2 linked regions of the Drosophila melanogaster genome follow. The gene in region 2 interacts genetically with the main gene of each other region. Each region holds a gene or a part of one and is shown on either strand. Other genes may lie near its edges.

Evidence for each region.
Region 1: of ics (region 2) and stck, changing one suppresses a phenotype caused by changing the other (phenotypic suppression), as found in Drosophila melanogaster (2 studies listed by BioGRID).

What each region holds. Positions count from the first base shown.
Region 1 is NT_033777.3:8,356,647-8,360,491, reverse strand, and holds stck (steamer duck), read right to left. Parts: upstream 2,165-3,845; 5' UTR 2,111-2,164; coding exon 2,088-2,110; intron 2,022-2,087; coding exon 1,902-2,021; intron 1,844-1,901; coding exon 1,538-1,843; intron 1,484-1,537; coding exon 1,342-1,483; intron 1,286-1,341; coding exon 1,027-1,285; intron 963-1,026; coding exon 766-962; 3' UTR 532-765; downstream 1-531. Other genes in the region: veneno, read left to right, coding at 1-191, 246-397.
Region 2 is NT_033779.5:13,638,937-13,644,466, forward strand, and holds ics (icarus), read right to left. Parts: upstream 3,667-5,530; 5' UTR 3,084-3,666; intron 2,337-3,083; exon of another isoform or gene 2,335-2,336; 5' UTR 2,313-2,334; coding exon 2,174-2,312; intron 1,546-2,173; coding exon 924-1,545; intron 861-923; coding exon 770-860; 3' UTR 511-769; downstream 1-510.

The DNA of each region.
Region 1 (3,845 bases), on a different chromosome or scaffold from region 2:
GCTTGCCAGATTTGAGGGTTCCTGGTATCGTGGCAAAGTGGAACAGATTATAGTTGTTCCACGGCAGCAGACAAAGTACCGGGTAATGTACCTCGATTACACGAATGTAGAGGACATAACCGAAATGGATATCCGTCGCTATCCATTAGACTTCACCGCTCCCTGTGCCACAAACCTTTGCGTGATTGACGGTATGGATATTAAACATTTGTCTTGAGCATAACATTTGAACAAACACTTTATAGAATTCCCGCACAACCCGAATGCAGCACAGGTTTCCTATCTGGCTGAGGTTTTGAAGGTCCATCAGTCAGTTCATATTGATAGTATCAAATATATCAACCATATAGCCGTAATTAAATCGGGAAGTCTTATTCAGAAGCTGTTGAGCTTGTAAATTTTAAGTGCATCAAATGCCATTTACTTGACACCACAACTAAATCGGGTCAAACACATTACGAAGTTATTGCGAATAAGCATTACGTTTTATAATTTTAAAAACATTTATATATAAATAAAATTCCATTAAATAACAACGTTAAAGGCTTTTAATACACAATGTTATGTTCCCTAGCTATTGATGCCGTTGATTCTCGATTTAAAATTTAAGTTACACACAACCGGATTACAACAGACGGAAAGGACATGCACAAGAGGTTTTAGTTTGTTTGGTTTTAGTTTCTCAAATGTTAAAAATGGTAGTGAAAGCGGGTCTACAACGACAAAGGCACTGTTTGGTGTGGATCTGAGACTCGCTCCAAGGCATTAGGTGTTCTTTTTCATTGTCATCTCGTGGGCGGTGCGCAGACGTCGTCTGAGTTCGTTTGGAAATCGGTCATAGCACTTTTTGCACACCGGCTTCTCGTCGTACTCGTAGAATTTCGATTTTTGTGTCATCTTCGTGTCGCACACGGAGCACGCAAAGTGGTGCACACACCAGGCCTTGTTCAAGGCAGTGAAAACTGTTGGCATTATGGAATGAGCGCATTAAATAAACCCAGAATATAGTTCAATTAAGTTACTCACCATCGCCTCCAATAACCTGGTTGCAGACGAAGCACAGGTTGCCAAAGAGCTGATGATAGTGCGTCTCGCAGTAGGCCAATCCCCGCTTCTCGTAGTGTCGGTGACCCAAGAAGGGTTTCTCGCACTTGGCGCACACGAAATGTTCCACATGCCAGTGCTTTCCGAGCGCCGTTACCACCCTCTCCTCAATCGGACGACGACAGGCACCACATATGGGAATGCCCATTTTATCGTGACAACGCAGACAATACAGTTCGTTCTATAATGGAATAATAATTCAGTTGCTTCTTATTTGCTAAAGAAAAAAAAACCCACCATATCGTTAGCAGCCAATCCTGGCCGGCTCTTGACCTCCCGAGCAGTGGAATCCAACTCTGTGCCGCAGGCCGTGCAACTGAAGTGATAGCCGTGGTACACTTCGCCCCGGAATCGCAAAGGCTCCTCGTCGATGAGGCCGCTGAAAAGCAGAGTAATTAGCAACATGTTTTCACCTAAAGCCTTTGAAACCTACTGGCATTTTTGGCATACATAGCGGCCGGTAATCTCCGCCTTCACCTTGGCATTGCACTCGTGACACAAGGCGCGGTTCTGGTTCTTGATGAATCCGCAATCAGCCAGCTCCTTGGCGCACAATTGGCAGCGGAAGCACTGTGGATGCCAGCTAGCTGACATGGCCTTGATGACCCGTCCGATGACGAACTCGCCGCACTTGTTGCAGCAGGGAGCGAAGAGCACGTGAAAGTCGCGTTCACAGTACTTACGGCCCTCGAACTCGTAGAATATCCCATCCTGGAAGGGTCGGAAGCACTGGGCACATCTAGAAAATGTTTATTAGTGAGGGTATTAGTGAAACAACTACATTGAGGTTTACTTACACGAAGCACTGGGTGTGCCAGAGTTCTCCATTGGAGTTAACAATCTTCTCAGTCGGCTCGAAGCCGTCGGCACATCGCGTACAATGCATGGCACCCAGCGACATGTTCGCTGCCTGGACTCTGTGAATTAAGAAGAAGATCAGGATCAGTTGTTGGTAAGTAACTAACCAATTCAGAGGCCATTACACTTCAGCCTTAGAGTACATCATGGTTATAGCTTGAGCGCAAAGAAAAACGACTTTAGGGCAGGGCGTGAAATGAGAAACTGGACAAAACAATGAGACTTATCGCTTGCCGGCTCTGTTGACGATGTCTGAATCATATTTCCTTCGAATGCACAGCCAAAAAGCTTTCTGGCATTCCGTGGAAGTTTAGCTTTCATTACAGAGAGTGTCGCATGGCAGTTGGATATCAAGCGTGATACGCTGCAGATGTGATGGCTTGGTGATATATCGTTTCGGAACAGGTTATATATACATATATAAAATATATACGAAGAACTATCATATTCGCTTTAAGCTGGATAACAATGAATGGCTATAATGAGTAATTGAAGTAATTATTACAAGCAGGAGCGCCATTTGAAAAGTTTGTATATAAACAATATATATAATAAGATGTAACTATCAACTCCCCATTACTGGTTGAGTCATTGAACATTCCTTGGCCTCCAAAAGGGGTTACAAATTCAAGCATCCAATTGGAATTGGGTTTGCCGCCAACACAACAGCGGCCCACTCATCATAATCAAATCCGACGAATACACACAAAAATACGAAGAGTAAACAATACACAGACACGCACTCTCGCACAAACACACACACACACTCGAGTGGCGGCGTTTAAAAATAAATTTGAATATGACCATGACGTCATCGATGGAGTAAACATCTGGCAGGAAAATTGCATTGAATGGGGGTCCAAAGCACCACCATCACTGGCAGAGGGTTAACGCTGGATTAGGGCATGAATGATAGGCACTGCTAGCCTGAATTAGTTATATTTTTTTATTAATTAGCGAAATGCTTATTTGTGCGAATGGATAACGATGATTATTATGCTGCCAAATGATGCAATATGTGGGCGTTTTGAAGACAAGGACGTTAAGAAAGTGGGGCGGAACATTCTGCTTACTGCACGGGCGGCATTCTGTGGGCTTTTCTTTTTTAGTTGCTTTCAACTGGTTTTCACTTGCGAACAACGGCACCTGTTGCACCTGGTGTACAACGTTTTCTGATCACGGCGAGTGAAACACTGCAAAAACATATAGAAATGATCAATCTGTGTCTTTTGGCTTTAAGCTCTGCTCGCTTGGCGGCCTTCTAGCCAGATCCGGTTGATTTTCAGCCAAGAAGACGATCTGCGCAGCGCTATCGCAGCACAAAAACAACAACACCTATATTGCCAAAATGGGCAAATCTCTGGAATTTCACGCGTTTCACTTAAGCATGTTCACATTTGAAGAATTGCATTCAACGGAAAAAGTACTTTTTACCTTCAGAGAAACCTTTTTAATTAAAGCCACAGTTTGCTGCAATTAAATTACTTTTCATTTAACTAACAGCTTCCGTGGAAAAAGACGCAGAAAAAACCACTCTACTTTATCACTAAAAAATCCCTGTACAACCTGCCTATCGATAGCTCTTCTGTTCTCGAGGCAGGTAGCCCTGAATGTCAATCGATAAACACCCAATACTACTGGGCGCCAATTTAAATTCGCTATTAGCCTATGTTACCGAAATACATCAGTTAAAAGAACTTTACGATTTAAGGCGCCACGCTTATCGCAGCGTGGCATTTTTGCTTCTTTGTCTCACCTTCTTATCAGCTGCTGGCCAACTGCTGTTCTTCTTCGAAACAGTTTCGTAACGCGCTCTTATCAGCTTACTGCCTCTACTTATAATTTCACGTACTATTTGTTTGTAAACAAGACCGGTTCGCATG
Region 2 (5,530 bases):
TTTCCGTGCTATCATTTTGGAGAAATTTACTGAATAAATGAATTTACATTTTTGTTTGTTTTTCTGCCAGACTTTTCGTAAAAGAACATCTTTAACTCTTGTAAATAAACTCTATAAAAAATATATAAATATAAATACTAAAATATACTTTAAGGAATAAATTAAATTTGAATTGCAGATACAGTGAAGGCGAAATACGTTTACAAAATAATTAAATAACATAAATTGATAAAAAAAAAATGTATTCAATTCAAATTGACAAGTGAAAAAATGCAAAGAAACGAAACAAACTCAAAGCGAACAAAGCAGAACTATGCTTTTAGTTTTTCTCAAACATAGAAAACAAAGAACAAAAACAAAAAACATTTAACTATTAATTTAATTAAAATAAATAAAGAATTAATTAATTGACTTTAAGTAAACTAATTAATTATGATTATGAACAAATTTCTTAAAAAAGAAGAATGAATATGAGAAAAGATAATAAAAACAAGAAAAACCTACTATTTTATAAAATATACAAGCGTGTCTTTATTTAACGATTCTTTTGCGCATAGGATCCGAAATTAAACCAGCAGGAATACATATATGCATCTATTATTTTGTTTTATTTTCATTAGTGAAACTAAGGGTCAAGGCACATTGCAGAAATACGCATTAGTTTAAAAGTACTTATAAATTAGTATACGAAAACGGGTTTGGTTAACAACGAACGAGACGAACACATTTGTAATTCCATGGGATCTTGGGATCTTCTGGTGGAGAATCACTATGCGCGAATTCGAGAGGCCTTCTTGCTTTTGTCAGCTTTGGGTGGCGGCGGTCCACTGCGTCCTGCTTGCAAGTGGCGGTTGTAGATGCTGTCAAGGAAAAGGATCAGATGAATATACATTTATGGATATATGGATCTATGGTGCACTCACATCTTATAGGTCTCCGTTTTGAGGTAGTCGATGACGTGACTAATGCCCAGCAGATATTGCTCGGCGATGGGATTGACCCAGGGATTCTCCTCCATCTTCATGACCGACTTGTTGCTCAGTAGGTCCAACTGGGCGATCTCTGGTGGCAGCACCTGCAGCCTATTGTTTTGAATATGTAGCTCCCGCAGTCGCACCAAATCCCCAACTTCGCGGGGCAATTCCAGAAGATCGTTGTCACGCAATCCGAGTATCTGCAGATTCTTCAGCTGACCCACCTCCTTCGGTATATACTCGAAGTCATTGTCGCCCAGATACAGAGCACGCAGTGTCTCCATACCAAAGAAATTACCAGGCAGGACCTGTTCGTTGAGATTGTTGTAGGACAGGTCGAGCACTTCCAGCACCGGAAAGGCTCCAAAGCCGCGAGGAAGATTTATCAGCCGATTGATGGACACATTGAGGATGCGTAGCTTTGGCATGGACGACAGCGAAACGGGCAGTTCGGTCAGCTGGTTGTTCGAGAGGTTCAGGATCTCCAGATTCAGTAGGTTCGCGATTCCCGGACTGATTACGCTGATCTTGTTGTGGGACAGGGTCAAGCGCGTGATGTTGGACATGTTGACTGCAAAAAAAATTATATTAATAAGAATACTAAACTCTTTAAAATACATATTTTTCCTTTTTCGTGATATCAAAGATTGTTTTTCATAATTGTCCAATGCACTGTGAATTCACCACTGGGTTTAAATGCAAACAGCTGATTGCAGGCAACAAGTATAGACGCCGAATGTTGGAGCGGGACAACAATATAAGCAGAGGCATGCGCAATGTTTTTTTTTTCTCAAAAATTTAATGGTTTTAAGATTAATAATTGTAGTATATTCTAATTTTATGTAAATGAAGTCATAGTTATGGAGTTGTAGTACATTTCCCAGATATGTATACACATCTTATTTGCGGTATTTACAGTGTTTGTTTACGTTCTCTACACTCAAACTTATGCATATTTTGCTGCTGGCGTCATCACAATAAATAAAACTAAGCGACTCCATTTAAAAAGATGCTTAGACTCATTTTAAATGAATATTATTACCACAACATAAATACATACGCTAGAATATTATTAATTTACAATTTTTTTAGCAGCTGGGCGAGGCTCCATTCTGCGTGGAAGTAACCCACCATTATGTTTACTCAGAAGTGCAAAAATCCGTATAATTCCTTCAAGATCCTTTGGTTTTGATACTTACACAGTCCGGGCAACTCCTCGAAGGACGACAGCCCCTTGTCGGCCAAATCCAACTCGGGATTGTGAGTTTCTCGGGCTTCATCCAAAACCTTCTTTGCCTTCGACATCTTTGCGCTCACTGGTATACAAGACTGACTCATTTTCGTTGATTCCTAATACGCCCTAAAAAATACCAGAACAAAATATACATTTCTAATTAATTATTTTGAAGGTTAGTCAATAAATTTTTATTTCTAAAAGCAGAATAGTAAAAGAATTTGGCAAACTAATTCTATGCTTTTTTAAATTTTGTAAGCAATTTTTTTGTAATGTGAGCTATTATATCTGTTATATGTATTTCAGGGCTGCCAGACAAGTAGAAATATGTAATTTTACATCGACAGGAAGCAATGTAAGATATTGTAAATGACTTAATCGAATAATAAGTATTGAGCTCATTTATTAAATAATATTTATATTTATATTATTTAAAAAAAAAGATGTTCATTATTCATTTGTATCTACTTATATATGAATGTGAAATCAAAGCTCACCAAACAATTGTTGATAAAAAGGTACCAACATAAATTTTACGCGCGTTCGATGTATGTTATCATATCTACATGTAGAAAGTGTGTTTACTTGTGATTGGTAAAAACTTAATTGTAACGTGTTTTATTTATTGAATTTATAATAACATGCATTCTTTAATAATATTGATATAATTTTGTTTATTTTTACTTTGCTCGATTAATGAAATATTCAAATGTCTTAAAGGACTTAACATTATTATTATGTATTATGTTAAATTATGTATTAATTTATGTATTAAATTAAAATATAAAATATTGTTGTAAAATGTATTTATTTTTATTTTTATATATTTTTCGTGTAGTTGGTCTAAAACTAAGTAATGAACCACAATTACTTACAGAGTAATTCTAAAACTGTTTTGGCAGCCACTTTCAGTAGCTCTCAAACTGCGCCAACTGCACTTTTTGTTAGCATATGTTTTTCTTCGGTCAGTTTTCAGCACTTTTCATCCACATGAAAACGAATTTAAACGTTTTTTAGGTCACTATGTTACACAAACACTGCACTTGACCTATTTTTGTAGGAAAACACCAAGGCTTTTCATACTGTATGCGTAAAATTGTTGAGTATCTGGACGAATTCGTACTGATTTCTGCAGATTATATGGCACTCACGTTACAGAATGGAACATGGGTTCCTATTAGAATACGTCTCCGCTCTTCGAAATTAATCACGAAAATAGACCCAAAGTGCGGAATGCGTCGTGCGTCGTCCGATCGTCTCGAGAAACTGAGAAGATCTCTCGCAGCGTCAGCAAGATCGATCGATGTGGATGTGGGCGAGTTGGAGGTGATGGGGGATCCGAATAATAGCTGGGGGCTGGTTTTTGCCTTTTTCGATTGTCGCCACTGCCGGCAGACAGGAAAAAATAAAAAACAAATCGAACCCAAACTCAATACCGGGTTTTGTTGATTTTGTTTAAAGTATTTCGCTTTTTCTCCAGCATCTTCACTACAGTGTCGAAACCAGTTTGAATTATATCGAAAAGACAAAAAACAGGCATAACTAAAGCATGAAATCTGTGGTTTGTCGACTTGGAAATAGGCGCTTTGTTGATTAGTTAATTACACAGTTGATTAATATCTTAAATGCAGCCATCTCGTTGACGCATATAAGATTTTAATATGATTTATCACATCTCCATGTGAAGTGAGACATCATGACTTTTTTCGCTATATTTTACGTTCTTGCCTTACTTCTGCTGCTCACACCATATACACATGAAAGTAAACTTCGATATATTAGTGAGTAAGGACACGACTTGGGATAGTAAATATAAAGCTAACCGTTGTAATAAGCTTGCAGGCGCAAAAGTGGAAAGTGGGGACGTTGCATTATAAAACAATCGCCATGTCCTGGCATTACCCATTTAAATCGCGTTTGCAATTCGGCAGCCATTTGCTGTGTGCCTGAATCTCAAAAAGTCTGGGACAATATAAGCTATTTTAAGCGCTTAGAACCGAAAGAAAACAATATAGAAACAGTAATAATAAAGTAAGTCTGTTTCTTATTACTTAGCCACTTAAGAATTTTATACCGTTATAAACTGAAAACTGCAGTGCAATAAGAAATGAGCTTAGAGCACATTTAATAAAATATCAATTCAATATAGTCATGTTGGCTTTTACCCTTTTTAATGCATTTTAGTTTAATTTTCTTTTCTTTTTTAATAGTTTTTATTAGAACTGCAAGCTGAGACATTTCTTCAATTTTATCTATTTGATGGATGCTAGATGCAAATTTTGAAGGGACTCAGATTTCTGGGCTGCAAACATGGCCGATATGATCTCCTTCAGTACAAGCTGCTCGGGGTTTTTCTGCTCTGGCCATTGGCTGTATTTTTAATTACTCTGCGGTGCTCCAGTTGCCGATGCAGTTTTGGATCTCAGAAATACGTAGGAACTAGATGTTTGTGTGGGTGGGGGGGCAACCCCGTTTTTTGGCTTTCGTATTAATTTTCATCCCGCCGGTTGTCGAATCCGCAAAACAGAAAGTTTGTCTTATGCGCCTGCATAATTTGCGTGTTGCACATACCATTTTTTTCGCTTTTTTTTTTTTTTTTTTGGGTTGGGGTAGTTGGCATGATGGCGAGTGCCTTTGCCGTATACACTTCCGCCGTATAAAATATGCAAAACAATGCAAACTCTCGCCTGGCCAGCAAACAACAACAACAACAAGAACAACAGCAACAGCAATGGGAGGGAAATAAAAACTTTCCCTGGCCCAAAAATTAATTTTTGTTTTAGATGGCGCGCAGATTTTTCGGCTGCATTTTTGGCTGCACTGCTAATGCTGCGGCACAGTCGCCACCAAACGACCGCCGGCCACTGTCCGTAATTTTTGTTTTAATTAACTTTTTGTTTGCCTTTTTTTCCTGCTGACAAACTTTTGCAGCTCGGCGCAAATTGTGCTAATTTTGAAATGGTGGCCAAAATGTTTGGAAATACATAGTTTATGCTCAGTTCCACTCATATTAATATATGATTGCAATTAAGGCATTGTATTGTATTGTGTAGCAAAATCAAAGCCTGAGAAGTGTCCTTTGTTAGGTAATCGATTCTTTCATAAAATTATATTGAACTTTGCAGTTCGATTTTCTATGTAAAATTCTAACCGCAATAGCGACCAAAAACCATAAATTCTTCATTGCCAAGCTCGCTTAAATTCCAAATTGGACATTTGGCGGCCATAAATTCGCATTAAGTGTTTACTTCGTTTAAATGTTATCCATGCCAATGTGCGAATGTGCGTAGGAGCGGCAAATAATCGATCCGGATTCTAGTTA